Mytilus edulis: one gene and its partners. The protein of the gene in region 2 interacts with the protein of the main gene of each other region in a pairwise test. Links are inferred from orthologs where the notes say so. Each region holds a gene or a part of one and is shown on either strand. Other genes may lie near its edges.

Region 1 (11,409 bases), on a different chromosome or scaffold from region 2:
AACGACCCTTACGACAAACATTTTGTATTTTCAGATTTTAATACGACCCCAAAAATTTTTGCGATTATATATTGGTATCACGTCATCGTCTTCGTCATCGTAGGCTGAAGACGGATGGTTTCCGGATAATAACTTTAGTATAAGTAAAAAGAAATCAATAAAATTTTAAAACAATGTTTATAACTACAAAAGGAAGCTTGGGATTGATTTTGGGGGTTATATATGGTCCCTAAGGTTAGGAATTAGGGGCCCAAAAGGGGTCCAAAACAAGCATTTATCTGGTGTCAGTACAAAAAGTTGTGTAGAAGTAATTCAATTGTTCTGAAATTGTACCACAATGTTTAATACCATAAGTAGAAGGTTGGGATATATTTTGTGGGTAATGGGGCAAACAGTCTAGGAATAAAGGGCCAAAAAAGGGGCCAAAAACAAGCATTTTTGTAGTGTCAAGACAATTAATTGGAGTTATCTTTCTTTGTCCAGAATAGTAGTTGAATCAACTTAAATCAATGCTATATAGTATATACATATACAATGCAATATTCACTTTACTACCAACTGATAAATTAAAGCAGTCTTTACCATTCATTGATTACAAGCACTTAGATTACCATTCGAGGGTTATGCCCCTTTACAAATGGAAAAATTGAAGAATTTTTTAGTTTCTGTTCTCTTAACTTAAGTTTGTCTCAACTAAATTTAATGAAATGTGTATATAATGCTTATTACCTCTAAACTCAGTTAAAGTTCCATTTTTGGCAGCTTCACCTTTACAGTTCTCGAGTTGTGTCCTTTTATAACGTTATATGCTAGTGGGGGCATACATTCCCCATCTATTTTTTTAGAAGTTACTATTAATTAATATTTATTTTAACCATGACTGTATGACATTTTACATTTTGATATTTTATGATATATTTAAATGGGTGGTTATTGTTGCAAACTCCATAAGAAATTTGAATTCAGATCTTTTTTTGAATAAGGGAAAGGGGGAGGTGAAGAAAAAAATGGGGGGGGGGGGTTCAATTTTTCTCATTTCAGATTTCAGAAAATAATAAGAAAACTTCTCCAAATTTTTTTTTTTTTGAGAGGATTAATATTCAATAGCATAGTGAATTGCTCAAAAGCAAAAATTATTTATAAGTTCATTAGACCACATTCATTCTGTGTCAGAAACCTATGCTGTGTCAACTATTTGATCACATTCCAAATTCAGAGCTGTATCCAGCTTGAATGTTGTGTCCATACTAGCCCCAACGGTTCAGGGTTCAACCATTGCGGTTCTATAAATCTCACCCTGCGGAGCATCTGGTTTATTAATTAAATAGAAAATACTAATGCCAACTCAATGTAAACAAACATTTTCTCAATATCTGACATTCTGATATTTACATCATTTGTCAATATTAAAGAAAGGAAATGAAACTTTTTAACACATCATGCTCATTCGAACTGGGTTTTTTGGGGGAAATTAAAACATTAAAATCTGCTGGCAATGTGAAAACATCTTAAAAGTGCTTGTGCTGAAAGTTGCTTTCTTTTTACCATAATTGAACCATGAAAAAACTAGCTTGATTGAGTGTGGATCATCAAATTAGTACCCCTTAAATGTCAATTATTTACAATAGACTCCATCTAATTGAATATCAGCTAAACAAATATATATGCGTGTATAGCAATATTATTTCAAAACACCAAACCCTTTCCTATATCATGTATATATTAATGTAAACTTTATCATGTAATCAATCATCAGATATAAGTATATATCGGCAAATCAGATAGGAATATTCACAAAAATAAGATATTTTCAATGTTTTTTTTTATTCAGGAAATACATGTAGACCCTGAAGTCTGGCTATTACAATCTTGAGAAGAAAGTTTTGTTTTTCTTAATACAATTTCTGAATGATCTGATGTTGTTTTCAAGATCTTCTTTTGTTATGAGAATTATATACCTGTACAGTTTAAATGGTTTGAATTCATTTACAAATACAAGTGCAGTATGTTCAAAGAATTTTGAAAACATTGAGTGTTCACAGAATCAGAAATATAATTTGAACTGAATGTACCTCTTTCAAACCAGAGAAAAATGACTTTTTGCAGATAAGTGAGTTTCTGTATTTTGCTGATACATGTATACATGTTAAGTATCTGATTTACAGAAAGTTTAATGTACCCACTACATGTATATGTATACACTCACCTGTTCTTTATGATTAGTTAATGCAGGTAATACACCTTCTACTGTATGTTCTACTAACACACCTCCTACCATCCTAAAACATTTTCTACTAGATTCTGTTTCTTTTAATGTATCTATAACTATTCTGAAAAAAAAATATTAATAAATATTTAAATATTTTATTGAATAAATTCTAATCAAATTTTTGTTGTATTATTGTATTAAACATACATATATTACTTGAAGAATGTGCTTCAATCACAGAATATATTCACCTGCCAACTGTCACTATTTGCAGGGGATTTCCCCCATGGAGGCTTTGAATTGGAAATTTTGAAATAGCAATTTCTCCACAATTTCACACAAAACAATCATTTTTACCATTGGTATAGCATTTAAAAAGCATAAAGGAGCAAATTAACAACATTAAAATAAATTTGAAGGCCCCTTTAAGTGAGTCTCATTCGGGTCTAAGCATGACACAGGATTGGCTGATTTTTTCAAGCGTGATAAATGCAAGTTAAATAATCAAGTATAAAAACAGGAAATAGTCTGACAGGACATGGGAAATTACATGCGATATTATGGCAATGAGAAGCGGGATACTGGATTCTCACTAAACAATAAGCAGACCAAGATATCAGACCACCCTTAGGCCTTTAAAGTTTTTGTAGGACTATGACCTCCTTCTTGCACGTAAAACCCTGATGGGCATTTTGAAATGTTGGCAGGTTTGCTTGTCGCTAATTAGTGAGTCCCTTATAAGTATTAACTACTTTAAATGTACATTTGTAGGTGACCCAAATAATCAAGTCATTATTTCACTCTCTTCTCTGCAGTGCCAGTGGAGAACGAATTAGGGTCTGTTCCCCCTGATTCACATTCGCCATGATACCTGTTCGCCCAGGGTCCATTCACCCTGATTTTCATTTTTTTCTAATTTTTTCTCCTAAACCGAATAAACCAGTCATTATATTCCGACTCACTATCGATCGCTACATTGAAAGGACACTGACCGATAGAGGGCGCTGAATCATTCGAGTTAGTTGTCTACTCGCATAATTTTAAGTATTTGAACAAAATATGTTACATATTTTACCATTTATTATGTATAACAGCCAGTATTACGTTTACCCTGTTGTATTATGAGATTACTTTTCCTTGTGTTTTAGAACAATAATATATTTATCTTATAATTTGTTTTTTTAAAACTCTCTTTGTACAATATATTTTATTTAGTGTATTGCCTCACCTCTGCTGGTGGACTATTAGTCCTCGAGGGCATCACCAGCCCAGTAGCCAGTACTTCGGTACTGGCATGAAAATACTGATTTTTTGTGTTATTAAAATTTGCTGTTACAAAATGATAGAAATTATTATCAATTAAGGAATGTATCTCCCTCATGCAAAGCTCTGATTTCTTTCACAGATTTAGCTATAATTTTTGGACCTTTTGGATTATAGCTCTTCATCTTTTATATAAGCTTTGGATTTCAAATATTTTGGCCAAGAACATCACTGAAGAGACATGTATTGTCGAAATGCGCATCTGGTGCAAGAAAATTGGTACCGTTAATTTTATTAATGATATTTATCATGTTTATGCATACTAATTAAAGATTAAAATAAATTAATGACTATCTTGTGTTTTCAACAGGTGTTCACTATTTACAATGATTGTATATTCTGGCGCATGTCACTGTGATTGTATAGTACGTACGCAGAGCAAACATGTTATTAGGGCGAACAGACGAATTACAGTTATCCCGTACCATTGTAAACTCGTACCAACGTCAACTCGTACCACTTTAAAAAATCTCGTACCAATGCAAACTCGTACCACTGCTAACTCGTAACAACTTAAATGCATTTAAATGGGTTTTGATGATGTATATTATTTACTTTCACTCAATACCTCTCAGGAGGTCTGTAAAATGTATATAATTTGAAAGTACAATGACTAATTTGTAGCTAATCATGTCCCTGTCTATTAGATAGAAAATACCGTGGCAGATTTGCTTTGCTGTCGCCTTTGACTCTTTTTCAAAACTTTTACTGATAATTATTGAATTTACTTTTTAATCCTTCCAAATTAATTCTTCATGAAAAAATCCTAGCAGTTAATCAAAATGATTTCAAAAATGAAATTCTTACTATTTATAAATAACAAGTTACAATGAAATGTAACTGTTTCCTGTTCCCGAATTTTCCCGCCAAAAAGCACATGGCTTTCAACAATCGTAAACATAGCATTCGATTTGTGATCATGGATTACAGCATAAATTGATTTAATTTGGATAATTTGGATATAGATATTCAACTTAAGGTACAGTTAAAGCAATGTTTTACTTTTACTTTCTTCTGGATTATAACTACTTTGAAAGATCAGCTTAAAGCTGGGGCTTAAAAAATAAAGCTTTTTTATTCGTATTTTTGTCTATTAAAATCCAGTATAAAATTCAAGTAATTCAACATTATTTTTATAAAGTTTACAAAAAAATACCATAAAATATTCGTAATTTTTAATATATTTTTGATGGTACGAGTTTGCAGTGGTACGACTTCCCAGTGGTACGAGTTCACTTTTTTGGTACGAGTTAACATGGTACGAGTTAACTTGCTTCCGAACAGACCTGTTACCTGGGGAACAATGACCGAAAGGAGAGCTGTGATTATTTGAGTTATCGATTTTATTAGATCTTTGGACAAGAAACTTAGTTTTCATTTGATATCAGTAACTTGATAACACAAGATTTTGTGATGACAGTTACTACCAAGTGTAAACATCATCTCCATGCAGTTCTAAAAAAAAGTTGTCTCCCCCTTTTCATCTAAACACGTGGTTAAAATACAAGTTATATAGAAATAATTATGGAGAACTAACTCGTGTTCCTTTAAATCTCCATTAAGCTCTGATATTTTGCCAGCAACAGCTCTTTGTTGTTGTCTTAATTCCTGAAAACCAGCAACTATTTGCTCCTGTGTTTTGCCTTTTCCTTTCGCAGCCATTTTAATGCTCGTCGTCTAAGAAAACGAAAAGTGAACACATAAACCAATATTTGGAATTGAATTTGGTATTTTTTAATTAATTTGTATTGAAAAGCCAGGTTCAATATTATTTTAGAATTTTAATCACACCTATGAAGAACTGGCGAAAAGAATTACAAAAACATATTGTTCGTTTTACAATAAGATTTGGAATTTTTATAAATCCTCACTTTGTTTACAGATGGCGGCGAAGTAGAGAGATGTTCAAACTAGAAATCGACTTGTCATGATTTCTCAGCCGAGGCCAACTCCAAAAAGGTTTAGGCATACCATTTTGCATTGAATAACTTTTAAAAGCATCTCTCATCACAAGCACAACACTACTGTTTTTAAAATATTTCATTTTATAATCTTGTTGAAACTTGTCTTGTGTGTCACTTTTAGTTTCAGAGAAAATATTAAAGATTCTCAAAATGTCAAAAATAAATGTTAATGATTTAAGTATCCTGACAAGTCACGTTTTTCATTTTTTTTTTTAAGGAATTTATTCTACCATCTTTGTAATATGAATGCAATACACCTTAATGCTAATTGTCCACCATAATCACTGGACATCAAAAAAGTTCCCATAAAAATAATAGAAAATATCTGACGCCACAATGGAAAAGTGATTGTTGTATGACAACAAAAGTACAAGTGGGTCAGATCCTGGGGTCAACATGGTCAATGGCAGCCCTCAATTTAGTCTACTGAAGTGGTCGCCTGGGTGACTTTTTAAAAGCTGATTGGCGACCAAAAATTCATAACTTGTCGCCATACACCTAATCGCTATTTGTCAGCCATTACAGGATATCACTCAGGTCCCCAACTCCCCATAAAGTTTTGACACCATGAACGAAATGTCTGACGCCACAATAGAAAAGTGATTGTGTATGACGTCAAAAGTTCAAGCCCCCGGGTCAGCCAGGATTAGCGATATAAAGGTGTATTAAAGCTTTTAGAATATTGAAAATCTGTCAAATGGTAAATTTTCTGAAATTTTGCCTTGATCGGAGCTGAGTTTTAAAAACCGTCTGAGTGCTTGACATGTAACACAAATGAATACAATATTTCAAGTGCCTTTTAGAATTATGCTGGACATTGTCAGCGCTTTATTGCATCAGGTAATTGTAGATCATTTTCGTTGACTGAAAATGGCTCAGATCTATCTAATGATCTATCTTCATATTTCCACACTCAGTTACAACTTTGACAATTGCATGCCATTTAAAAGAAAACCATTGGCATTTTTAGATTGTGTTTATTGAAATTAAAGCACATGGTAGAGCAGTGTCTCGATTTCGTCAGTAAACATGGTAAATGGATTGAAACAATGTCCCCGACCAATGGGGAAATCAATAGTGCTTAGAAACTGCACAAGTCCAGTGAGATTTTTACTAGACTGGAGCTTCAGACTACCGGTTAACCTTGCAGACTGTTTTAAAACATGTACAACGAATATAAAATTAAATAAATCATGTAGTTAATGTACAGTTGATTTATATAAACTATTTTCTACACTAGAACGCAAAAATCACTGAACAGAAACTTAATCATGTTAATACTCTTATTTCACAAGCCTGGTTGTTTAGATAGAGAAAAATGCAAGCATTCTGAAATTATTGCCTTATCACTGAAATTTTGCATTTGCCACTAAATTTTCATGTCTGGTGACCATTTGGCAACTACATTTCAAAGGCTACTTTGAGGGCTGAATCAGAAAAGACTTAAAAATAGTGATAAGGTGTATTTGCCATTATTTGGGAACTGTGACGTTATGTTCTACATGTATTTTGCTAATTATCATGATTATAGGAGTAATGAAGACCATCTACAAAAACGACAACTCTTGTCAATTTGGACATTTTGATTCGCCTTCATAGCTAACTCTTACTCACAAAGTATATTATAGGGGCATTAGTTACCATTGGCAGGTCTAGATTTGTTTTATTGTTAAACCATACTACATAAAGAGTGGGTGTAACACCTTGTACAAATAGGGGTATTTTAGTCCAGTCATGCCAGTTATTAATTGTAATAGGAAGTATGCATTAATCAATGATAGTGTACTTACCGTTCTTTTATATTTTTTTTATTATACAGAGATCCTTTCTATGTAGATCCACCTCCTAAAGCACATTACCATCCATCAGAAAAGAAAAATCTCTCAGAAAAACAGAAAAAGGTAGGAATAATCATGTACTTGTATTCAGTTTTAATATTTAAAGGAAGAAAAGTCTAATGAACAAAAAGTGTGACCAAAATGATTAATGAAAATTTCAGTCTGCACCAAAAACTTCAACTACTGGGGTCTGAAGACCAATATTCTGACATTTTTCTTATTGAGCCAAACAAAGTTTTGCAAAAACTTACTAGTCCGAACAAAATTTTCGTAGTCTGGGGCATATGACTAGTGGAACCGTGCAGACTGAAACATAAGATTAAAGAATACTACAATAAATTTGGAAAAATGATAATTAGATGGAATAAATTTTTCCTAAACAGAAGATAAGTGGGTATAAGATTGGAGATTTTTGTCTGCCTCCATATAACATGTATAAGTATGTTTATGATTAAGCACTTAAGATTTTCTAATAATATTATGTAAATAATTTATCAATATTTGCATTTGTTAGAGAGCATTTATATGTAATGTTATAAGTGATTTAGGTTTTATATATTTTACAGGGAAAGACCTAAATCAGGGCAATGGATTTAAGTTCAGAGTTTTTGTCCTATTGTGTAATTTTCCATAACTTTAGTATTGTCTGTTACATGTAGATCAGTATATTATTATATATATTTATTTAGTATACCTTTTTACAATTTATAAATTCTATTACATGTATTTGTACAACTACATGTAAGTGATGCATGAGTGTGTATCATATTTGTATTTACTTGTAATATAAAGGGGTAATAAACACTTAAAGAATGAATACTTTGGGATATCATATTTGGAAATAAGGCAATGAACCAACAACACATAAAAAACAAAATACAATGTGAACCATTTGAGGTTAACTCATGGTTCATTAAGTTGCATGTGTCATGTGTCTGTAACAGGCTAAGATATATGATTGCATGACTAAAACTAAATGTGAATAAAACAGAGACAAGCAAAAATCTCCCACCAACTACACACTACCCTTATCACAAAGTGACATACATGTATTAAAGATATAACACGATTGATGGATGGATGAACATACATGTTGTTTTTAACATCCAGTTGCAAATATTACATGAATATCAGGACCAGAACATGTTTATGATTATAATTTGAATATGAAACCTTTGCACAAGACTGGCATACTGAGCTGCATTTTCAGATGCTAGTCTACAGAAAGAAATGTCTCCCATGACAACAGACACTTAAGGCAGGATATAGCCCTTTGCGGCGTTTAGACATAAGTTGACCAAATTCCTGATTAAGAACAGACAAAACTCATTTTCATACTCTTAATGATAAGTAAGAAAAATATGCAATTTGATGATTAGCACTTATTTTTCTAGGAATTGAAATTATATATTTTTAGTGATGCATGAATTTATATTCAGTTGTTTACATAAACATTTTGAGATAATACATTTTGATTAGGATATAGTGTTCTTATGTAACTTGTAAGGAGTAGTAATCAAAGGATTTTGGCAAACAAAATATGTGGGATTAATTTAGAGTTTAAAATAATAATCTTGACTTGAACTATAATGTATCTTTATTCTGTTGTTTACAAAAAATATCATTTAAGGATGGTTATTTTTTTAGAAAAGATATAAATTATATATGCAGCTGCAGAAGAATGAAAAAAAGGTTTAGTTTTGCAGCAACCTTTACCTTTTTTAATTTCATGTTTAACATTTATAAGTACAGGTTGTTATTATATATGAAAAAGTTCCAATTGAAATGAAAGCTCATATATATATGTTATTGTTGATACTGGTTTAATACAAAGTAATATAATTTGTGTTGTATTTTTACTTTTAGACATCTATCAGTCCAATTAGATCAAGTACCAGAAAACGGAATGAAGACGAAAGACTAAGTTATAACGATGAACTTTTTTTAAAGGGAGGTAACTCATTCACACCGAAAGCTAACCAGGATGAATCTGGTTCTTCACATTTTGATGAATCATGGCCAAGTACAGATAGGCCACTAAGGTAAAATATTTGGTGTATAATAATGGTGAACAAAGATGTATATAACACTGATCACAGTCACACAGGAAGCTGAAGTAGACAAGATTAAAAAATAGACAGAAATATATATAAACTTCAGTATCAAAATAAACCTGATTTTAAATTTATTGAAATACAAGAACATTATTACATAATTGAAGATATATCCTGCTGTGTTCTAAACTGACAGAGTAAGATTTTTAATATTAAATGTATTAACTAGTTCTAAACGGCACAAATATCTTTAACAACTTCAATGCTTTTTTTCATTATTTTTTCTCATCAAAAAACGATTAAATTTTGGAATGAAATGATACTCACTGGACTCTGCTGTCATATTTTTGCTGAATATTTTGCATCTAAATTTAAGTTTGTAATGTACAATATTTCAGTATAACAGATTTAAATTTAAGTTTGTAATGTACAATATTTCAGTATAACAGATCTAAATTTAAGTTTGTAATGTACAATATTTCGGTATAACAGATTTAAATTTAAGTTTGTAATGTACAATATTTCAGTATATCAGATCTAAAGTTAAGTTTGTAATGTACAATATTTCAGTATATCAGATCTAAAATTAAGTTTGTAATGTACAATATTTCAGTATAACAGATTTCAATTTAAGTTTGTAATGTACAATATTTCAGTATAACAGATTTAAATTTAAGTTTGTATTGTACAATATTTCAGTATAACAGATCTAAATTTAAGTTTGTAATGTACAATATTTCAGTATAACAGATTTAAATTTAAGTTTGTAATGTACAATATTTCAGTATAACAGATTTAAATTTAAGTTTGTAATGTACAATATTTCAGTATAACAGATCTAAATTTAAGTTTTTAAGTACAATATTTCAGTATAACAGATTTAAATTTAAGTTTGTAATGTACAATATTTCAGTATAACAGATTTAAATTTAAGTTTGTAATGTACAATATTTCAGTATAACAGATCTAAATTTAAGTTTGTAATGTACAATATTTCAGTATAACAGATCTAAATTTAAGTTTGTAATGTACAATATTTCAGTATAACAGATTTAAAGTTAAGTTTGTAATGTACAATATTTCAGTATAACAGATCTAAATTTAAGTTTGTAATGTACAATATTTCAGTTCAACAGATCTAAATTTAAGTTTGTAATGTACAATATTTAGTATAACAGATCTAAATTTAAGTTTGTAATGTACAATATTTCAGTATAACAGATCTAAATTTAAATTTGTAATGTACAATATTTCAGTATAACAGATCTAAAGTTAAGTCTGTAATGTACAATATTTCAGTATAACAGATCTAAATTTAAGTTAAACTTTGTAATGTACAATATTTCAGTATAACAGATCTAAATTTAAATTTGTAATGTACAATATTTCAGTATAACAGATCTAAAGTTAAGTCTGTAATGTACAATATTTCAGTATAACAGATCTAAATTTAAGTTTGTAATGTACAATATTTCAGTATAACAGATCTAAATTTAAATTTGTAATGTACAATATTTCAGTATAACAGATCTAAAGTTAAGTCTGTAATGTACAATATTTCAGTATAACAGATCTAAATTTAAGTTTGTAATGTACAATATTTCAGTATAACAGATCTAAAGTTAAGTTTGTAAGGTACAATATTTCAGTATAACAGATCTAAAGTTAAGTTTGTAATGTACAATATTTCAGTTCAACTGATCTAAAGTCAAGTTTGTAATGTACAATTTTTCAGTATAACAGATGAAGATCATCCTTTGAATAACATAATATTTCAAAATGGTGGAGATAAATATGCTGATTTAAAGAAAACATTGCAGTTTCCAGAGAGGGATCCTCCAGCAGACAAAAGAAAATCAAATCTTATGTCACAGAATGGTAATATGAGGCATGACAGTTCTTCAACGTTACAAAAGTAAGTGTTATAAAAATGTACAAGAGTTGATTCATTGATTGTATTATTAAATGTCAAGCAAGCATGAAGATGACTATTTTCATAAAGTTAAACTTTTCCCTGTACT
Region 2 (10,577 bases):
GCACAAATGGCAAAGTAAACCAAATATCTGAGACCTATTGCTTATAGTATTTGAGAATTAACCATGAAAAATTTACCTTGTTCGCTGATCCATGAAATGAGGTTGAGGTCAAGTGAAAACTATCTGACGAGCAAGAAGACCTTGCAAGGTATGCACATACCAAATATAGTTATCCTATTATGTGTATTACTCTTAATAAGACAGAAATTAAGAATACTAAAATCTATGAAAATGAGGTCAAGGACAATGGACATATGACAGATGGAAACTTCATATCATAAGGCTTCTATATATATACAAAGTATAAAGGATCCAGGTTTTCTGCATTCTGAAATATTAAGATTTTAAGAGTTTAGCTAACACCACCACAGCCACTGCTGGATCACTATCCCTATGTTGAGCTCAACAAAAACTAATTCTATGTTTTTAATTTCTCTGTCATATTCAATGTTTCCTTGCATTTGTTAATGTTTGCTTCTCTTTTTTGCAAATCTAAAATAAAAACGTTTCATGGATGCATGAAAAGAAACTATAAATAGATATGCTAGACTTACCTTCCTTGACTGTAAATGTTTAACTATGTCTAATGAAGTTTTAATGTCTGGGATCTGTTGTTTCAATCTGAAAACAAAACTTCTTATATCAATTTTACATTCAAAATGACTAATTAATCAATCGATTGATTAATTAATGTATTTATAAATTAATTTATTGGTTAATAAATTGATTGATTTAGTATTTGTTTTGTTTAGGTATTTGGTCTATTTATGCCATTTTGTGTTTTTTTATTGAAATATTTATTTGTTTTTAGTGATTTTATTACAATGTTGACATTTTTATCTTGTCTGTTTGACTCACACACTTTTGTCAAAATAATGGAATTATATGCTACTGTCATACAAGTGAGAGGATGAGTAAGCTATAAAACCTGGTGTAATCCACCAATTTCTACATAAGGAAAAGCCTGTACCAACATTTGACCAAGTCAGCAATATGACTGTTGTTATCCATTCGTTAGATGTATCCGAGCTTTTGATTTTGCTTTTTCATAAAAAAAGTCTTTTCATTTTGAATTTCCCTTGGATTCCCGTTTTTTTTTTTGTTATATTACTTTTCTTTCAGACATAATATTCTATATAAATTAAACATAATATCATGTAAACAAACCTGCTTTTCTTTGTTAATATATTATATTCCATAAATTTATATTTTCTATGTTGTTCATCCAGCCTTACTAAAACATTTTCAGCTGATTCATTTTCTTCTCTCTTCATAAAACTATCAACATCTTCCTGAAAATACATTAAAAGCAAATATATATCTTCCCAATAGAAATAATGATGTGATAGACATGTTAGGTATTCAAATGTTTAAGGGCATACGATACAGTTACAGGGAAGGTAATGACGTTGCTAACGTAAAATGTTATTTTCGCGACGTCAAACTATGACATATCGGGGAAAGATGCATTTTTCGACTGATTTTTATCATTCAAACTGTTTTAATTTGAAAATGAGTGCATGGACCCCTATTTTTTAAAACTGCAATTTGTTTCATTTTGCAAGGAGATTATGTGACCCAAATTTTATAAAACTGTAAATAGCGCATTTTTTTTAATTTTGATAAACATGCAGCAAAAAATGACGTTTTTTCCTCTATTCATGAACATTTGATAAATATGGAGTTATTTTGGAATAAAATTGCATAATTTTTAATGATACTTATAAAATACAAAAATTACCGATTATTTAACAAAAAACAATTTGTGTTTATCTTTTAAAACAAAAAAGTTATGTCTTTCTTTCGAAAAAGAAAATACGGACACAAATCTGAATTTTGAGCAAATATACAAAATTTCGACCTCATTTTACTCAAAAAGTAGCCCATGAAGGTATATTTTTTATTAAATATTTGATTTAATCAGATAAAAAATAGCCTATATATGCAAATTTTCATCAACTTGTAAATACAGGTTCAAAACTGTATCGTATGCCCTTAAACCCGCTGCATTTGTTTGCACCTGTCCTAAGTCAGGAAACTGATGTTCAGTTAGGGTCCTTCATAGCTTGCTGTTTGGTGTGAGTCAAAGCTCTGTGTTGAAGACCGTAATTTGATCTATAATGGTTTACTTTTACAAATTATGGCCTGGATGGAGATTTGTCTCATTGCCACTCATACTACATGTTCTTATATCTATATACACATTTGACTTTTGGACAGATATTCTGTTATTAGCGAAATAGAATTTAATGAATTGTAGTACAATTTTCTGTAAACTGGCAATTCTAAAAGTAATTGAACATGTTGGTGTATCACATTTGAATCAGTGTAGTGTAGCTCTAAATTGCTTATTGTACATATAAAAAAGAAGATGTGGTATGATTGCCAATGAGATAACTCTCCATAAGAGACCAAAAGACACAGAATCATGTACATGGCTTTCGATCTACGTGGATAAGAAAATGTTATTTTCTAACAGTTCATTATTATTGATTTCCAATTAAAATATAAAGCACAACAAATAAAAGATAGGTAGGGAACTATGAGCAGTAAATTACACAAATACTAGAGAAGTGGAACATATGTCAACAAGACAGCAACCCAACACAAAAAAATATGAAAAATGAATATTTTTAACAATAGTTTGCAAAGTTTACTACATTTCAAGCTCTTCATCATTAGACTCTCCAAGTCAACAAAAACTTATGAATCAAAGGAGAGAGTATCCTAAATCTGACAGCAATATTGGCTAAATGACAAATAAAAGTTTATTATAAAGATATAAGCAGATATTGTGTGAGTGTCAAAAAGACTAAAATTGCTAAATTAATAAATTCAAAGCTGATGTACCATAACAGAGAGGACGGTGCATCAAATTGACTGAAATGTTATCCAAGCAATTCCTATCAAACTATATCATACACAGAAAACATTGAAAATTGGTAATTAATTCTTAGTCACTGGACCATGACAACAATGGCAGGGTCTCAAAATAGTTGAGTTTGAGTTTTGTTGTTTTAACGCCACTTTTAAGCACCACATTGGGGCTATTTCTTGGTGGAGGAAGCCGGAGTGCTGGTAGAAAACCACCTACCTTCCATTGGAAAACTGACAATACTTGACAATTAACAATGGAGTCGAATGCACCCGCACCAGCGGGGTTCAAACTCACAACCTCAGTGTTGCCTGGCTATAGTGATTACAGCAGTAACTACTTAGACCACTCTGCCACCCAGGCCCCTGGGGTCTCAAAATAAGGCAATGATTTTTTAATTTGTTGGTTTACGGATCCGCCGACTCGATTTTGCCGATTTGCAGAATAAAAATAAAATTGACTTTTCATGCTTTTTTATTCCCGCCGACCCTAACAAAAACATTATCTCTAAAAATAAATAAAATTGACTTTTTTTATGAAATGAAATGCATTGAACACTAATGGAATTGATAACACTTTCTGTTGTGAATCTAAAACTTCCAATTAACGTATCTAAAAATAGACAAATCACTGACTTCAGCAGAAAAAGGTAACATTTAAAATTGCTAATTATTCAGTCATAACCATGGGGGCAGGGCCTCGACCTTTTGTTAATCTGATGTGAAGTGATAGTAATGCAACTGTCAAAAAAAATATAACATTGATAAATCACAAGAAGTTCCTAAAAAACAGATTTCAGCTGAATTTCTTTTCAATACACCTTATCGCTAATCCCGGCTGACCCGGCCGCTTGAACTTTTGACGCATACAACAATCACTTTTCCATTGTGGCGTCAGATATTTTGTTTTGAGACGTCAAAAATTTACGGGAACCTGTGTGATATCCAGTAATGGCGGACAAATAGCGATAAGGTGTATTGTTGATGTCGCCAACAACTGCCTCGCTCTAGGGGACTTTCGACTCCTACAAGACAAAATTCACACATCCTCGACCAGGCACAACAAGACCCCACTCAACATATGAATGAAAGAAGTATTGCAACCCAAGTAAAAGCATTAGGTCAATATAGAAAACTGCTGCATAATATCTAATACATTTTTCTGAATACATTCATGATCTATGTCAATAATCTACGTGCAAAAACCTATTAGTAAAAATGAAATAACCTGAACAAACTATCAAAAAATATATAACAGAGATCACTACAATTATTGAATTCGTGTTTTATTACAACTGCATCATGACACAACACGTGGGTATAAGTTTTTGTTTGGTCATGAATGTATGTCTATGGGGATAAATAAACAATAACAAATAAGTTTTTCAACTTGAAGGGTAAATAATGTTTCGTGTGTGTTGAATAAAGTGTCATACTACAAATTCTGCTAAAGGAATGCTCGAATTCGCCTTTAATTCTGATTTATCTGCAGAATCTGCTTTGGAATCACCCGTAGCCATGATGCTTGCTGAAAATAACGTGTATTCGGAAGTCTTCTCGGCCTTGTGTATCAATACACCGAAAACTACCGATAGATACGAGAGGAATTATAAATATGGCGATGTTGAGGGTAATGACTGAAAAATATCCTTCTTTGTTTATATACAAATGTGACACATATAGAATCTTCAAAAACAGTTTACGATAATGTCCAGTCCTTATGTCACATTATTATGTAAACAGCAGTATTTACCCTTCAGAATCGAGACAGTTCAGATTATGTTTTAAAAAATTATGTTGAGTGTTGTGCAATTTTTATTATTTTTATATATCTCTACGCCAATTTAACGTGAAACATAATGGTAAAGTTACTTCATATTTAACATTTAAGTCACAGCTTGTAAATATAACACCCTTTAAAAATGTTTCATAAAAATTCCTCAATTATAATATTTACCCATGATATTTACATACACCTTATCGCTAATGAGGGGGGATAGGACCTTTATTGGGACTCCGGGATCGGCTGTTTTTAAGCTCGGGATTTCGGGATTGACCCTTTCGGGATCCGGGAATTCTTTTTTTCGGATTTCGGGATGCCGGGATTTACTTTCTTTCATTTCGGGACCTCAGGATTTAGTCTTTTTGAGCCCGGGATTTCGGGATCAGGACCCCCCCCCCCCCCCCCCCCCCGCTAATACTGGCTGTCCGGCCGCTTGAACTTTTGACGTCCTACAACAATCACTTTGCCATTGTGGTGTCAGATATTTTGTATTATGACCTCAAAATTTTATGGGAACCTTTGCGATGTCTAGTAATGGCGGACTAATACTAATAGGGATAAGGTATATTATTAAATTCGGAGTAAAAGGCTTGTATATCATCATTATACTCCTCTGTTCTGTACTCCATATATTAAAAATCTGTTGTTATAAATATCAACCCAGTATATACATGTAGCATCATCCATCAAAAAGATTAAATTATGTATAATGTTATCGCGTATGAATTCATTTAAATTTACCATAGGCGGATTCAGGTGGGGGCCCAGGCCCCCCTTTCGTGGGAAAAATTTGTTTGATTATATAGGAAATCATCAAACCATGACTGGAGCGGGCTCCCCCTTAGGAAAAGTTCTGGATCCGCCTCTGTTTACTTCTTTATCATGCTTATTATAAAATCTGACTCGAAATTTGCGAACTTTCCCATAAATTTTCTGTTATTATGATTTTTATGTCGCAGTAAGAACTGATTGACCTTGTGTCAACCGGTGTAATTCATTCAAAAAAAACAACTGTTGAAATCAAGATTGGTGTTCACCAAATCACTTCGAAATATTTATATTTGGTTTGCTTTATCATGTCATCATGTGAGAAGGAATTATATTATGCTTTTGACAATCATATGTTTTCATCTTGCTGTTGCAGGTACATGAATATTTAGTGTTTCATTCCCTACATCATCTTGGAACAGAAAATTCATATGTAGCATACTTTACACTTTACAATACAGTAGTACAAAGACTCATAATTTTGCCATGACCATGATGAAATTTTTACTTTGACAAAGCCTAACTCATCAATTCAATTTTTCTGTTGTACATGCATATATACTATTTGAACTTCCATGACTCCATTTAGAAAACTTATGATAATATCACCTTTTTTTGTCATTAATGATGATTTCTACACACATCTTGTTAAGGCCAGACTTTTTTTATTATCTGTTTAACGAGATCCGCCGACTCTACCTTTCCCGATTTTAGAATAAAAATAAAAGTAGTGCTTCTTACTTTTATTATTATTTTTCCCGCCGACTGTTACGAAATCCTCAGAAAAAAATAAAATGTGTTGTTCACGATACTCGCTTTCAGTCAATTTTGTTATCGGTAATATTTAATTTTTACCAAGTCAACGAAACAGCAATTTTCATTTAAAAGTAAAGAAATTCAAGGCATAAACGATATATTTTCTTCTAAAAGATTTTTAAGCTGGTGGCATGCTTTTCATACTTGTTACACGAGAGCGAACATCAAATCATTCTAACTTTCGGCAAAATCAGTTATTACTTCATCAGAACTTGATGAAATTAGCCTAAAGTAAACTTGTCATCCATGTATTGCATTAGAAACGTCATATTCCTTTCCAAATAGCATATCAAACATCGTTTATTTTTGTAAATTTTTCTTCGTCTGACATTTAAATTTGTAGAACTAAGGATCGGAATCGGGATTTCATCGGAAACTGACCCGCTATGACCGAAATCCGGATTCTTGCGATAATGACTACAGACGCATGAATGGCACTGCTGACAGACAAAAAATGATCCCAAAAGGGAAAATTACGCATTCCACACGCATTAACATACTTTTGGTTAGATCTTCTTGATTAGTGTATATATTTCCATGTATAAGCATTGTTTCAATTTATAGGTTAAAGTAGCTTAACTCTGGGACTATTACACCAGAGACATATATACACATGTGTATATATATGTCTCTGTATACACTAAGAGGTTCCTGACTGGGTGACTGGTATATACATATATAGTGTATATGCAGCGAGGTTGATATATTTGAGTGGTGCCATGGATAGTGGAAATACAGAATCAAAACATAGTTTTTATGTTTATATTAATAGAAGGGTTAACCAGAGACATATATAAACTATATGTATTTATATTTCTCTGGGTTAATATACTGGTCTGTTCTCATTTCATTGTTCTTGTATTTTGATAAATTCTAAAAAAAAAAAAAAAAAAAAAAAAAGTCACTTATAATGGTTTTATTTTTATTTTTAGTGTCGACTGGACCAATTTTGCACTTTTATTTTTTTTTATTTCGCCCCCTCGACCCTAATTTTTTACAAATTTTCTCGTTAAACAGATAAAATAAAAAGTCCGGCCTAATGTTTAATTACTTTGAGTCAAAGGATCTTGATATACCTTGGGACTTGTCTGTTTTAAAACTGATGAGTCGAGTCTAAATGGGTCAAGGACTCATGGACTTGTCTTGGTGGTAACCATGCATGACCCAATTTGTTTCTGTGTAAAAAATGTATATGATTAGGGATTATAATTAACTAACTGTCAAATCTGCTTTTAATATATATTTACTGAGAAGCGGAACTAGGACTAATTTATAGAGAATGAACTTGGGCAAGTTATTGACTTTCATTTCTGTGGACTCTGTTATTTTGTGATGTTTTCATGGATTTTGTGGTTATAGGTCATGTAGTTAATTATGAATTTAAATGTTAATCAAAGAACACATTTTCAATACTAAGGCTTGAATGCAGAATTTGGCAAAATCACAAAATCAAATATCCATAAACTTTATAATTGTTCAATCCACACAAAAATGTATGAATAAAAAGTATCCATAAATAAAAATCTGTTCTCAAATAGTATTGGTTATAATGTTAATACATAAACACATAATACGAACAATGATTTTCATTTTTTTCAGCAAGGACAGTCTCAGTTTGAGGACCGATGGCCCTCCATGAGACCAACTGCCTTAAAATTACTCAGACAGGAACCAGTTACCAAAGCAGAATGGCAGGATCTGTTCTGGTAGGGTTTCCACTTAGTTTTATATTCTTATAAGTAAAAAATATTGTTAACACTGTTATACTATATTGAATATAGTTCGAATAAAATGAGATGTATGTTAGTTTTTTTAAGACATGCAACCTTACAATACAAGTCATCTTGACATCCAAGATTAGGTACCATTTTAGGTATTTATAGGATTTCTAGGTAGGCTGATAAAAAAATATTCATGGTTTTATGATTTCCTTACTAAGGTCTTTTCTTAAAAAAACATGTATCTTGGAGTAGTATTAATATTTTTGAAAGCCAATATACCATTTACACAGCTCAAATACCAAGCAATATTTATAACTATAAACATGATAAAAGCAGGCTGGCAAATAATCAAAGCCAATTAAAACAGTTTTATGTAACACCATGCTTAACACTATTTTGCTTTTTACAGTGCAGTACATTCAGTATGCCTTTGGGATGACAAAGGTCCACAGAAGATGTATCAAGCTTTACAAGATGATATACTAGAATTCATACAGCATGCTCAATCAGTAAGTTTTGTCAATATTGCTAAACGCATTGTTTAACAACTACATTTATTACAGAGTTTGTTTATAAAACTTCTAGTTTAATCTGTCAAGAAAACCCTATTTTTATCAGGGGATGTTTTTATGACCCACCTACGATAGTATAGGGGCATTATGTTTTCTGGTCTGTACGTCCGTTCATCCCGCTTCAGGTTAAAGTTTTTGGTCAAGGTAGTTTTTGATGAAGTTGAAGTCCAATCAACTTGAAACTTAGTACACATGTTCCTTATGATCTTTCTAATTTTAATGCCAAATAAGAGGTTTGACCCCAATTTCATGGTCCACTGAAAATAGAAAATGATAGTTGTGTGGGGCATCTGTGTACTGGGGACACATTCTTGTTTTGTAACTGTTGTGAGTTGTTGTTTTATGATTCAGGGATCTCGGTCATAAAACTTTACTCAGTACTCAGACTGCTCAATAATCATACTCAAAATGTTTATGACAACAAGCCTTATCCATGCCTTTATTGATTCATTCTTGTTATTATGCAACACTGAAAACAAACCATACTAACCATTATATCTGACAACAGGAATCACAAAAATCACTGGACAGCACAAAAGACATTAAAAAAAAGTAATACATACAAACAAAAGACCAACATTTAATTAATTAGCAATGTTGCCAAATATCAGATCGTCTTTTTCTTAATTTTGTATTGACATTTCAGACATGCCTCTGTGTCAACAGTTTATTTAATGATATTTTGTCAGTCGTATATACTATAGATGGATTTAATTGATGACTGTAATGTGAGACTGTTTAGTTATTAGGATATCTCAATTTTATGAATTTTTTCTTTCAAAACCAAACTGAATTTGAACATGTATTTAATTCAGTACATATATGCATGATATACAAATATAGGTAATGAGGAAATATATTCTATATTTTCCTCTCCCAACAAACTCAAGGTGGCCATTTTGAAAATCATTGATAAAGTTCATTCAAATAAAAGTGAGTTTACATTCTTCAATTCATTAAATCTGTTGGATAATTTCAGAGGGTATTAAAAAACCAAGAAGATTCAGCATTACTAAAAGCATACATAGCAGAATGGGGTAAATTCTTCACTCAGTGTGACTATTTACCTAAACCATTCATGCAGCTTGTTACCTCACTATCGGGTAAACCACATGGTAGTGTACCAAAGAAAACTCCAGGAGAGGAGAGCTTAGTTAGAAAGGTAAATTATTACTGTTACAATTAAAAATTGACACTTTTAAAGTTTACAACTGTCATTTAGAATGTAATTGATGACTGAAGAAAGAAACAAAGAATTTTCTATTCTTTAAAGTGTACTGTACATGTAAGTTCAGAAATTTTGCAAGGTTTTTATTATAATGAAAATGTAACAGGGGGAGTATTTATAAGAACTGGCATCCTGAAAAAATCTTAACACATACATTTATAATATATACAGCTTTTCCTCTAATTTGTTATCCCCCTGCCATAGCAGAGGGGGCATGAAGTTTTACCTTTATACGTAACATATGTACAACCGTACGTATGTATCTTCATAACATTATATGCAAGCGGGGGCATCATCTGTGTCCTATGGACACATTCCCCATTTAATTTTCTTCAAAGAGATTGTCATAATTTATTTTTCTTTACAGTTGATGTTAGATAGCTGGAATCAAAATATATTTTCTAATATCAAACAGAGGCTACAGGATAGTGCAATGAAATTGTTACATGCTGAGAGAAATGGAGAGGCTTTCGATTCTCAACTTGTTATAGGTGTTAGAGAGTCTTATGGTAAGTCCATGTTTACTTGTGTACTTCATGCAGTAAGGTTGTGAGTTGGAACCTAGCTTGTGCTGGTGCACTCAACTCCAATCTCAATTGACTAGGATTGTCAGTTTTCCTATGGAAGGTCAGTGGTCTTCTCTTTGCACTTCAGCTTCCTCCACCAATAAAAACTGTCCACCACGAAATAGCCCAAAGAGTGGTGTTAAAACACCAACAATCAATCAATAAATCTGTGAGTGATATTCAACAGTTCAGTTGGATTTTGGTTTTCCCACCATGCTTATTCCACTCAATTTTATGTCTTCTTTTTTT
Region 3 (10,958 bases), on a different chromosome or scaffold from region 2:
TTCCCTTTTTTAACATCCTGTGAAAAAAAACCAAATAAGGTAATAAACAACTGAGTAAAACGATAACATGGATAACAAAAGATATCTGAGCTTTTATAATTTAATATAAAGGATTTCTACTGAATAATCCTTCAAAAAAGTTCAAGATTAATGGCAAACAGTAATGCTTTAATACCAGGAAAGTTGACTGTTTGTCTTGTTTATTGTGGGTTTTTTTTTTGGTGCTTCATGCCAATCTGATAAGTCATGCAATTTTTCAACTGATTTCTTTAGTTTATTCTTATGTTGTGATTGTACACCACTGTCCAATGTAAAGGTGAGGAATAAGCACTTCCAAACATATTTATTCCCACAATATTCTATATTCATGGTATTTGCTTATCCTAAATCAGGAGCAGCGAGCCTGTAATTCAGTAACTTCAGTTGTTGTCATTGTTTGCTGTCATATATTTTTAATAACGATTCAAATATGCTGTGACCCTAACTTTTGATTCAATGTGCTTAAAATTTTAAATGAGTAACTTCCCAGCACTGTCATTGATATGAGTTTAAATTAGTGACATGAATCAAAAGCACACTAATGTGCATACATTTGTAGGTGACAAGAAATTTATGGCTTCTATTTTAATTCCTTTACATGATTTTACTGTAACCTCAAAAGTATACCATTTGTTCTATTCAACATACATGTATCAAGCATATAGGTTGAGGTAGGCAATGTTCTTTAAAAGCAAATGTTTTGCCAAAAAGTTTTTAGTTTTTAAAATCTTTTAATAATCATGATAATACAATATTTGAAATATAATCACCAATCCACGTAATACCCGAGCCACAGTGTCTACATAGTGTGTGTGTAACTGTGCTTACATAATACATGAAATGCAAAGACTTATCATATCTACATAATATCCTGTCCCTATATCCACCATTACATTTTGTACATGAAATGCAAAGACTTACCATATCTACATAATATCCTGTCCCGATATCAACCATTACATTTTGTACATGAAATAAAAACACTTACCATATCTACATAATATCCATCCCTATATCCACCATTACATTTTGTACATGAAATACAAAGACTTACCATATCTACATAATATCCTGTCCCTATATCCACCATTACATTTTGTACATGAAGACTTACCATATCTACATAGTATCATTTCCCTATATCCACCATTACATTTTGTACATGAAGACTTACCATATCTACATAATATCCTGTCCCTATATCCACCATTACATTTTGTACATGAAGACTTACCATATCTACATAATATCCTATCCCTATATCAACCATTACATTTTGTACATGAAATACAAAGACTTACCATATCTACATAATATCCTGTCCTTATATCAACCATTACATTTTGTACATGAAATACAAAGACTTACCATATCTACATAATATCCTGTCCCTATATCAACCATGACATTTTGTACATCACTCAGCTGTCCTGGTACATATATCTTTATTAAGTTAAGATAAATGTTTATGGTGGCTAAATTATTGGCTTTATTGAAAATTAAGTTTTCTTAAACACTGATACATGTATTAATGTGAATGATTAAGAAATCTTAGTTTAATTTAAACTTTCTGTAAAATATCTGTGAGAATGTCCTACACAAACTATAAGCACACCTATTGAAGTTTGTTTAAATCCTTTGTCAAATCCCTTCCAAAGCCAAAGGACAGTCAGTATTCCCTTGACAATCTTCAAAAAAATATTTTGCAATTAAATACTGAATAAACTTTTTTTTTATAAATAAAAATAACTTTTGAGTTTGACAATAGGATACAGAACCAGTCAGAGGAACCAGTATATCTTTGCTCAAGCTTTCTGGTGAAATTTTGTTCAGACTCTCTTGAGATTCTACAAACTTATTTTGTGCATGCTTCAGCTGGTTCATGGAACTTGAGAATAATTCAATTTCCTGAAAATATAGTAAAACAAACATATATAACATTAAGTTAATCCTATATTAATGATAAAAGCACATGCACAGCACAACTAAGGAGACTACAGCAAACAAACAATACAAAACAGAAGAAACTTTTAGATGTCAAAATATTGTCTTTCTTCAACAATTATCTACATCTATACAATATAATATTCAATCTTTAATTCAGTATGATCACTTTTTTTTAATTCAAAATTGATTTTTGTAAGTGTCATGTACCTGCAACCCTTTAGGCCAAAATAAAAATATTGTATGTTTGCCCAAATCTGACTGTCTTAAAATAAAAACAACGCTGACTCAAATTCTTTTTTTGCCGTTTTTTTTCTTTTCTTCAGATTTTTTGGTGTCCACTCCGTCATCGTATAAAACTTAATGATCGTCGTCTTTGCGTTTGAAAGTAACTGTGACTAAGATTAAAAGAAAGCGTGTAAAAGACGCAGTTAATCGATATTCAATGTTCTGGGTATTTATCTTCTGATTTAATGAACGTACATTTAAGTAAAGAAGCAAAACATGTGTCATGGCAGTTTTTTTACGCTGTCGTCGTCTGTACTTCTTAAAATTAACCAAAAAATAAAGACTATTGTGTCTAAAAGGCTTCACCGCTTTAACAAAAGGAAAACCTGGAATGATGTTTTTGATGAGGATGCCGATCCTGATGAGATGGACATGCAGAAAACTGATGACGTAGTTGTTACTGTATCCAACAACAGTGGCTACAAACTTTCGGGCCTGACATGAGTGAACCTATTGAGGTTGTATAGGAATTTGACAATAAACTTAAGTTTGCTACTTTTACTGTAAAAAAAAAAATACCTTTCAAATGTTGATTTTTTATTCTAAGTCTCAGTATATGGACAAAAATGTTGATTTTTTATTTTAGTCTCAGTGTTAACGTTTATATGTTGTGTTTAAGTCTACACATTATAAATAAAGTTCAGTTTATTGTTGAGTGATTTAATTCTATATAGTAGACTAATTTATAGAGGTGTTAAATTCTGGTTTTTGATTGTTTGACGGAAAAAAAGATATACATTGAATTTGTACTGTTTTAACATTTTCATGCAAATTCTGATAAAAAAAAAGGAATTTGCCTACCTACCTACCCACTCCCAGTCATCATTTGTCGGGTTTGGGCAAACTGAAATATTTTTTATTGTGGCCTTAATTACTCATGTTTGGACAATTTTCACAGAGACCCATCAATTCAAGCCTTTTCTACATTCATTTTATAAACTTCCACATGAAATAGTTCTTTGATTTATTTTGTCTTTTAATACATAAAATGAATAATAAGATTATTACTTTCATTTTCAATTGAACGTCAAGTAATGAGAACCTTAAAGTGTAATTATTTGCTTGAATTTATTAAAAATAATAACTCTGATAATAAGCTTTTATTTTTTATTTTCTATCTAAATTGAATTAAATAAATTATAGAAATATCATAAATTTTTTAGCAAATATTTATATTATAATTAACAATTATTTGAATAATATGAGTTAATAACAATAATCCTTTGTTTATTTGTACAAGTATATATTTTAATTAATTTTAATTGGTTGTTAATAGATTTCACGATTATCCTCTACAATCTTTTCAAGTTCATTTAACCTCCCTTTGATCTTCAATATCCAATTTTGCTTCAAAATTCATTTTTCATTTTAAATCTTTAAGTATAGTCAATAATACAACTACAATAATACAACTCAACATATATCAAGTAAAATAAATAAAGCCAATAGTATACTTGGGCTAATTAACCGAACTTTTATCTTTAAAGATCAATATACATTTTTAAGACTATACGTTGCGTTGGTACGACCACACGTGGAATACGGAAATACAATATGGTATCCGCATTTAAAGAAAGATATTAATGCTGTAGAAAAAGTGCAGATGAGAGCAACTAAATTAATTCCTGATATACGACATTTAAGCTATGAAGACAGATTAAAAGTACTTAAACTACCTTCCCTAACTCACAGAAGGCGAAGAGGTGATATGATACAAGCTTTCAAAATATTAAAAGGATTCGAAGATATATCTTATGAAAGATTTTTTACTGTCATCAGTACAAATACCCGTGGGCATAATTGGAAATTAGCAAAACCTTGATGTAACACTTCTTTTCGATTAAGACATTTCTCACAACGAATTATTAATGATTGGAATAACCTACCAGTTGAAGTTATTTCATCAAAAACTGTGGAAGCCTTTAAAATTAGTATAGACTGTCATTGGGAGTCAGTCATGTATCAGTTAAGAAATTGATGAGGACACAAATAGTTTTCTATATAACTTTTTAATTCTCAGATCTGCAGTGACATCACAACATGTAACTGACCAATCAATGATTAGCATATATGTGTTACATAAACAATGCTGAGAGGTGATGCGGATAAGAATCCTCTAGATTTTCCATACACTTCAATGTAATTAATTTAACTGATATATATTGACACCAGTTGAATCTAGTAATTTTACCCACTTAATATTGTTAAAGACACTATATAATATCTCCATTTTGATTTTTATCATACTATATCCTTTGGTTAAAAAATAATCAACAATATAAATAATCAGTTAACACCTTCAAATAGATGAAAAATCTAGAGGAATCCTATCTGCATCACCCCTTGAAAAATTTAAATGCCAGGATGTCCGGATCTGAGAATTGTGTGAAATATTGCACCAAATCATGCAGGATTGATGATTGTATCAGTTTTGAAAGTGTACCAAAATAGGGTGGGCTAAAAAGGATAGGATCCTTCCATATGAGCCCCACAACGATCTTACAGGTATCTTACAGGTAATACTGGTACATCAGTAATGTACCAGTATTGCTGGGTTTTTTTAAAAGTGACAATACTGGTACAAAATTTTTATACCAGTATTGCGATCACCAACTACAGGAGATCCATGGGCTTGATAATGTAATATGTGGTCAGTTAAATGGGAAATCGGTCCCGATAGAATTCTGAAAAGGATTATATATAATTATTTAAAATATTTCATGTAATAGCACGATGTCGATGACAATGATCAAAAAGCTTATTCTATTGTAATTTCTATTTCGAATTTTGGTGTGCGGGTTACATAAATGTGAAACTTTAGTAATGCTAAGTTTGAACCTGGTCTAATTGTTTAGCCAATTGGTTAAGTTGTTCAATTGGCAACTGGGCGATGTCGATTTGTTGTGTCGCCATGTCGGTATTTTATCCAAGGGAAGTAATAAGTGGACAGAAATAGTTCAAGACCAAACAAAAATATAATATATATATAGTATAGGAACGGACCAAAATAAATGGATAGACGGAGGATCACTTATGAACTGCATGGCGTATCCAACAATACTATATTTCTGTTTTGAATAAGGAAAACAAATCAAAAAGGAAGATTTGATTGGATTTGGATTATTTCTATGGAATTATTTAAAAGTACATTACATTTGTATAATTTAGTGTTATCATGCAGCGCTTTATATTTCGTTCTCGATTTCGTTGTGTAAGGCTTAAAAATAATAAAATGTCTCTGAACTATAACTAGGTTAAATATTAGAATGGCCCATTATTATCCAAGGTAAACGGACAGAAAGTCACAAACAATTTGTTGATAATTTTTTAATATATATAAGAGAAATTAGGTCTCGAAATATTTACTTTTTATTACATATAGTTATTTTTCAGTGTAGCAAGGATTTGTATAGTGTTATTATACAAATCCTTGAGTGTAGTAAAGATTTACTAAATTTTAATAATGTAAAGGATATATTTCTTGGCACCATGAAGAACCAAGCCACTTTGACATGTTTCAGTCTTATCAATTCTTTTGTCATCTTTGCCGTTAGTAAATTTATAGCAAACCAAAGATGAAAATAATCAAGAGAAATCTAGTTGGCAACATCCAGTATATATAAGTTTGAATTAAACAGAAAAACTGCCATCAACACTTTATTCGATTCCATTTTCCCAAAAAATGATAAAGCTATAAATGTCAAATAAACCATTAGAAAATGACAGAAAAAAAATTAAGACAATATATTTATAGGCGTAGTTTCAATCAAGCTGTATACAGTATTTAAAATACATTTTATCGTTTGTGTACACAAGTAGATGACCAATGGTTATTTCGTATCAAAAATACATTTCATATAAAACTGAGAAATTTAGTATGAACTCATGCAGTAGTCTATAAAGTTGTTTTGAGTTTAAAAAGTAAAACTACAAAAATACTGAACTCAGAGGAAAATCAATTCGGAAAGTCCATAATCACATGGCAAAATCAAATAACAAAACGCATCAAAAACGAATGGACAAGAACTGTCATATTCCTGACTTGGTACAGGCATTTTCAAACGGATGCCATTTTCAAATATAGAAAATGGTGGATTGAACCTGGTTTTATAGCTAGCTAAACCTCTAAGTGTTTCATTTAGACATAAAAGCGGTATATACTGGTGGCACATCGCTTATATACTATAGCTAGTACTGGTTTACAAAGTTGAAAATAACAAGTTTAATAATTTCATGAGTCAGACGCTTTTCTGGGGGTGCATTGCATTTGCGCCAATTTTTGAAAATGACAATCTTTCATTTGCGCCACAAGGTTATATTTCATTTGCGCCAAAAAATAAAAACCTCATTTGCGCCATTTTCAGGTAATTCGGGCAAGCAATAACGGAAACGTTAAATATTCATTGCTCTAAAAGGTTTGTCTTTACAGTATTTCTCTGGATAACGGGATGAGTTCAATGCCACACTCAATTCTGAAGTTGAGAGTCACTAAGGTGTACAATTGTATATAGTGTTCACATGTTCGAGGTGTCAAAATGGACATTTTCTATTTAGACATAAAACAGGCGGAGAATTAAGTGTGTAAAATTTGATGACCACACTTTTTTTCAGATCATACGTTCTGAAAAATGAAGACCAAGTCGTTTATTGGGATCCCAAATAAATAAAACCTTGCAAAACCAGTATAACAATTGAAATGGACTGCAGTTCATGAAAAAAAAACGGTCTATCTTTTTTATCAATATGGTATGCACTTGAGAGGAGGAACTTTCCAGACATGAATACATCAAGGCCGTCGCTTACAAGTTTGGTGCCAGGGTAGACGTATAACTTTACAATAGTGTTTCATGCTTAGATTAACTCCAGTGTAAACTGTTGTCTTTCATATTTCATAGTAGGTGTTATGATAACGTTTATTAATAACAGAACTCTGTTTCATTAAGGTTTAACAATACTTGTTTGGTTTAATGTCGACTGATTTCTGAGGAATATATTTAATTTTGCAAACAAAAGCTTTTATTATCAAAAGTCTTTTTTTAAATATATGTTTTATGCTATTTATATGTATTTACCTGTAATATTGGCGCAATCAAAAGGTTTTATTTTGGGGCAAATGAAATATTGTTTGTGGCGCAAATGAAAGATTTTTTTGGCGCAAATGAAATACTAATTGGCGCAAAAGCAAAACACCGCTTTTCTGGATTTACTTTCATCAGGAACGCTCAAAGCCAACCATTTATGAAAAGAAATCATGACTTCGCGAAAATATCCACCTTACAGTACCTAGAAAGTGTCAACCTTACAGTATCTAGAAAGTGTCAACCTTACAATATATAGAAAGTGTCAACCTTACAGTATCTAGAAAGTGTCAACCTTACAATATCCAGAAAGTGTCATCCCTACAGTATCCAGAAAGTGTCAACCCTACAGTATCTAGAAAGTATCCACCTTACAGTCCCTACAAAGTATCCACATTACAGTATTAAAAAGTATCCACCTTAAATTACAGTATCAAAAAGTATCCACCTTACAGAGTCCAGAAAGCATCCACCTTACAGAATCCAGAAAGTATCTAGAAAGAATCTACCTTACAGTATCTAGAAAGTATTCAGAAAGTAGACACTTTACAGTATTTAAAAAGTCCACCTTACAGTATCTAGAAAGTATCCAACTAACAGTATCCAGAAAGTATCCAACTAACAGTATCCAGAAAGTATCCAACTAACAGTATCCAGAAAGTATTCAACTAACAGTATCCAGAAAGTATCCAACTAACAGTATCCATAAAGTATCCACATTTAATACAGTGTCAGACAAAATAATCATTTTACAGTTACTTATTAGTTTAGTTTAATTTAAACAATATGTTATGCAAACAAACCAATTCAATTTATTTGAATAACATTTTATTTAAATTAAACTAAACTAAATAAACCACAGTATCCAAAACGTATCCATCTTAAAGTACCCAGATATAATGCCTGTATCTGAGTCTTGTACCCAATGACTACACACTTAATTTCTTTAGCACGTGTGTGTGGTAGCGATTCGTATCTGATTCGCATGAAGCAGTTGTCATTTTTGGATGACCTGACTTGTGTCTATGTATGTAGTGCTGTGCTGTCCACAACCTTAGTCGAACTTGTCGGTGTTTACTTTAACAATTGCAGATCTCATCATGAAAATTTATAAATCTGATAGAACGACTAGTTTTATGCATCCTAAACTTCAGTAGACAGCATCATAGTTTGATGCAAGTAATAGCGTTGCAGTTGTTCTGTGCCGTAGATTCAATGATCGCACGAAACATTTGCCGCTGAACATTACGCAACTGTAAAATAATAAAATTACATCTTATTATTTTGTCTTATTTAATAAACCTTTTCAGATATGACCAGCAAAAATAAAATCAATGATATATGGGGTATATCCTGTTGTATCCTTTATTTCGAGTTGATCGGATAGATGCGCTCTGCATAGTCACTAAGCTTTGAATAATTCAATCATTGAAGCAACCAACATTAAGTTTAATTTCAGTATAAAGACGAGCACTTACAGAGTTCTTGACTTTCGTCGGCCGCGCAAATATTTGGTGGAGATAAAGTTAAAGTAGGTTTCTTATGTAAGAAAAATTTAAAGCGTTATTCTCCATAAAACCACTACCAAACTTAAATTGTGGAATTATGAGTTTTGTTGGCTTTATCAACTTTTACATATTTATTGACCATAAACTTACAAAATTAACTTCAAGAGGCTGTTAAAATGACAACAAACCGAGTTATCTTATTACCATTATAAGTGTCATTGTTAAAGGCTCTAAGGGTCCTAAATCATGGCCTGAACGACAAAATTGAAAATTGCTTTTATTTTGACAACAGTAATAACAAAAGTCATATAAAATTTGATGAAGAAGAAAACAATAGTTGAAAAGTTCTCATCTTATTGCACGGAAACAATAATCACATGCAGTGCTATATTCATATTATCAAATACTCCCAATACTCCGGAGAGACAGATGTTAAACTTTTCGGGCAGCAATTTCCAAATTGAAAAAAAATAATTTGCAACAATTACAGCCGATTGCATTGAGTAGGTAGGTAAAGGAAATATCTTTGCTTAGCTTGCTTGCTAGCTAGCTGAACCGTGAAGTCATTATTTCCTTTACCTACACCCAATGCAATCGGCTGTAACATACAAAAAGTTGAAAAATATCGGTTAAACGGTTCGCCATTTATTACACGATTTCAAACGACATAAATGCCATTTTCCAATCAATGAAGACCATCGCTCTTAATCGAAGGGCAAATGTGAAAAATCATCAATATCGAGCTTGACCTCTTTATTCATCAATAACAACATGTTAATTTTTGATAAGCATTGTTTTAATGGTTTTATAAGCTATTGCACAAAAACGATGAAGCTAACTGCCTGAACGCCCAACAATCGCCGTACACCCCATAGTTTGATTATTATGCACTTGCAAGTTTTCAGAGGTCACCTTGATGATTAATTACCTTTAATTACTAACACACGAAACGCTGATAGATATTACCGAGTCCATGCATTGTAAATCATTTATGTTAGACTTTTTATAATTTGAGTCAAATCGGTGAACAAGAATTTGACAGCTAATGCTCTTTTAATATTTTTACATTTAACCACAGGAACACATACCGGTAATATGAAAACAAGATAAAGTTAAATATCTTTTTTCCATCCAGTGTGTACCAGAGATAACTGTTTTTCTTCATTCCTTACTAGCTAGTTTTCATCAATTTGTCTTTAAAACACATACATGTTATTCCTATTTCCCTAAAAAAAACTTCAGTCGAGTTGCAGGTTGGGTGATTTTCAAGTTAAATAGACCAGGCTGGACTGAAATGTGCACACACGCTAACATTCACGTGTGATTTTCACAATATTTAAATAACATAAGTGAAATGTCTATATGGATTTATGCACATTGGTATTTTTACGAATATCTTATATTATAGAGCGATAGCATGAAAAATAACTGCACTTGTAAAGATTTCAACTTAAAGAGTATAGGATTGGAGTCGATTTCACAAAAAAAAAACTTACGACTAAGATTGATCATAAGTATATTGAATTGTGCACGGCTTACGATCAATCTTAGACATAGTTTTTTTTTGTGAAACTGACTATACTGAAGTACATCGATCTGGCACTAAAGGTTTATTATAAAAACGCCCAAGAGTTTAGGGTTATCATTGATTCTTTGGTGCGTTTTTTTTTTGTAAATTTTTTAACAACTATCATTTTTTTAAGATTGCTTTTTGGTTAAGTTTCTGTTTAACTCTCATCTTTTTAAGGTTGTGTCGAGTGCATCGTCCAAATGGGGTTATACTGAGTGATGGCAATAACGCATATAGGTCTATATGTATCTTTCACCCAATTGCTTAAAATAACAATAATATTTGTGTTTAATTGTTTATTCTAACAACCTTGCTTTACATATCATGTATAATAATAATAATTGACAACAGTAAATGACATCTATATACATAAACGTATCTTAGATACAACTATAAAATTTATTGCATTTAAAAAAAAAACATTGCGAAAGACATTTTATTGACTACGTTCATAATGATCGACTTGACTATCACCATGAACTGATAAATATAACGGACACATCCAAAATCTTTCTGTGCATCAATTCCAAT

What was found. The genes of interacting proteins can lie anywhere in the genome.
Region 1: the proteins of prefoldin subunit 3-like (region 2) and prefoldin subunit 2-like interact in binary tests that used the Drosophila melanogaster proteins (3 or more experiments, as listed by UniProt). The link is inferred for Mytilus edulis from reciprocal best matches to the Drosophila melanogaster genes mgr and Pfdn2.
Region 3: the proteins of prefoldin subunit 3-like (region 2) and prefoldin subunit 5-like interact in binary tests that used the Drosophila melanogaster proteins (3 or more experiments, as listed by UniProt). The link is inferred for Mytilus edulis from reciprocal best matches to the Drosophila melanogaster genes mgr and Pfdn5.

Annotation. Positions count from the first base shown.
Region 1 is NC_092348.1:41,976,462-41,987,870, forward strand, and holds the start of prefoldin subunit 2-like, read right to left. Parts: upstream 5,229-11,409; 5' UTR 5,195-5,228; coding exon 5,070-5,194; intron 2,331-5,069; coding exon 2,207-2,330; intron 1-2,206. Other genes in the region: cylicin-1-like, read left to right, coding at 5,460-5,491, 7,316-7,397, 9,201-9,376, 11,124-11,303. UniProt on the Drosophila melanogaster protein: Binds specifically to cytosolic chaperonin (c-CPN) and transfers target proteins to it. Binds to nascent polypeptide chain and promotes folding in an environment in which there are many competing pathways for nonnative proteins.
Region 2 is NC_092353.1:54,815,523-54,826,099, forward strand, and holds the start of prefoldin subunit 3-like, read right to left. Parts: upstream 4,465-10,577; 5' UTR 4,395-4,464; coding exon 4,311-4,394; intron 1,293-4,310; coding exon 1,168-1,292; intron 622-1,167; coding exon 555-621; intron 1-554. Other genes in the region: cullin-5-like, read left to right, coding at 4,490-4,504, 7,841-7,947, 8,372-8,471, 9,514-9,696, 10,130-10,271. UniProt on the Drosophila melanogaster protein: Binds specifically to cytosolic chaperonin (c-CPN) and transfers target proteins to it. Binds to nascent polypeptide chain and promotes folding in an environment in which there are many competing pathways for nonnative proteins.
Region 3 is NC_092345.1:32,216,792-32,227,749, reverse strand, and holds the start of prefoldin subunit 5-like, read right to left. Parts: upstream 5,229-10,958; 5' UTR 5,185-5,228; coding exon 5,110-5,184; intron 1,948-5,109; coding exon 1,813-1,947; intron 1,483-1,812; coding exon 1,408-1,482; intron 18-1,407; coding exon 1-17. UniProt on the Drosophila melanogaster protein: Binds specifically to cytosolic chaperonin (c-CPN) and transfers target proteins to it. Binds to nascent polypeptide chain and promotes folding in an environment in which there are many competing pathways for nonnative proteins.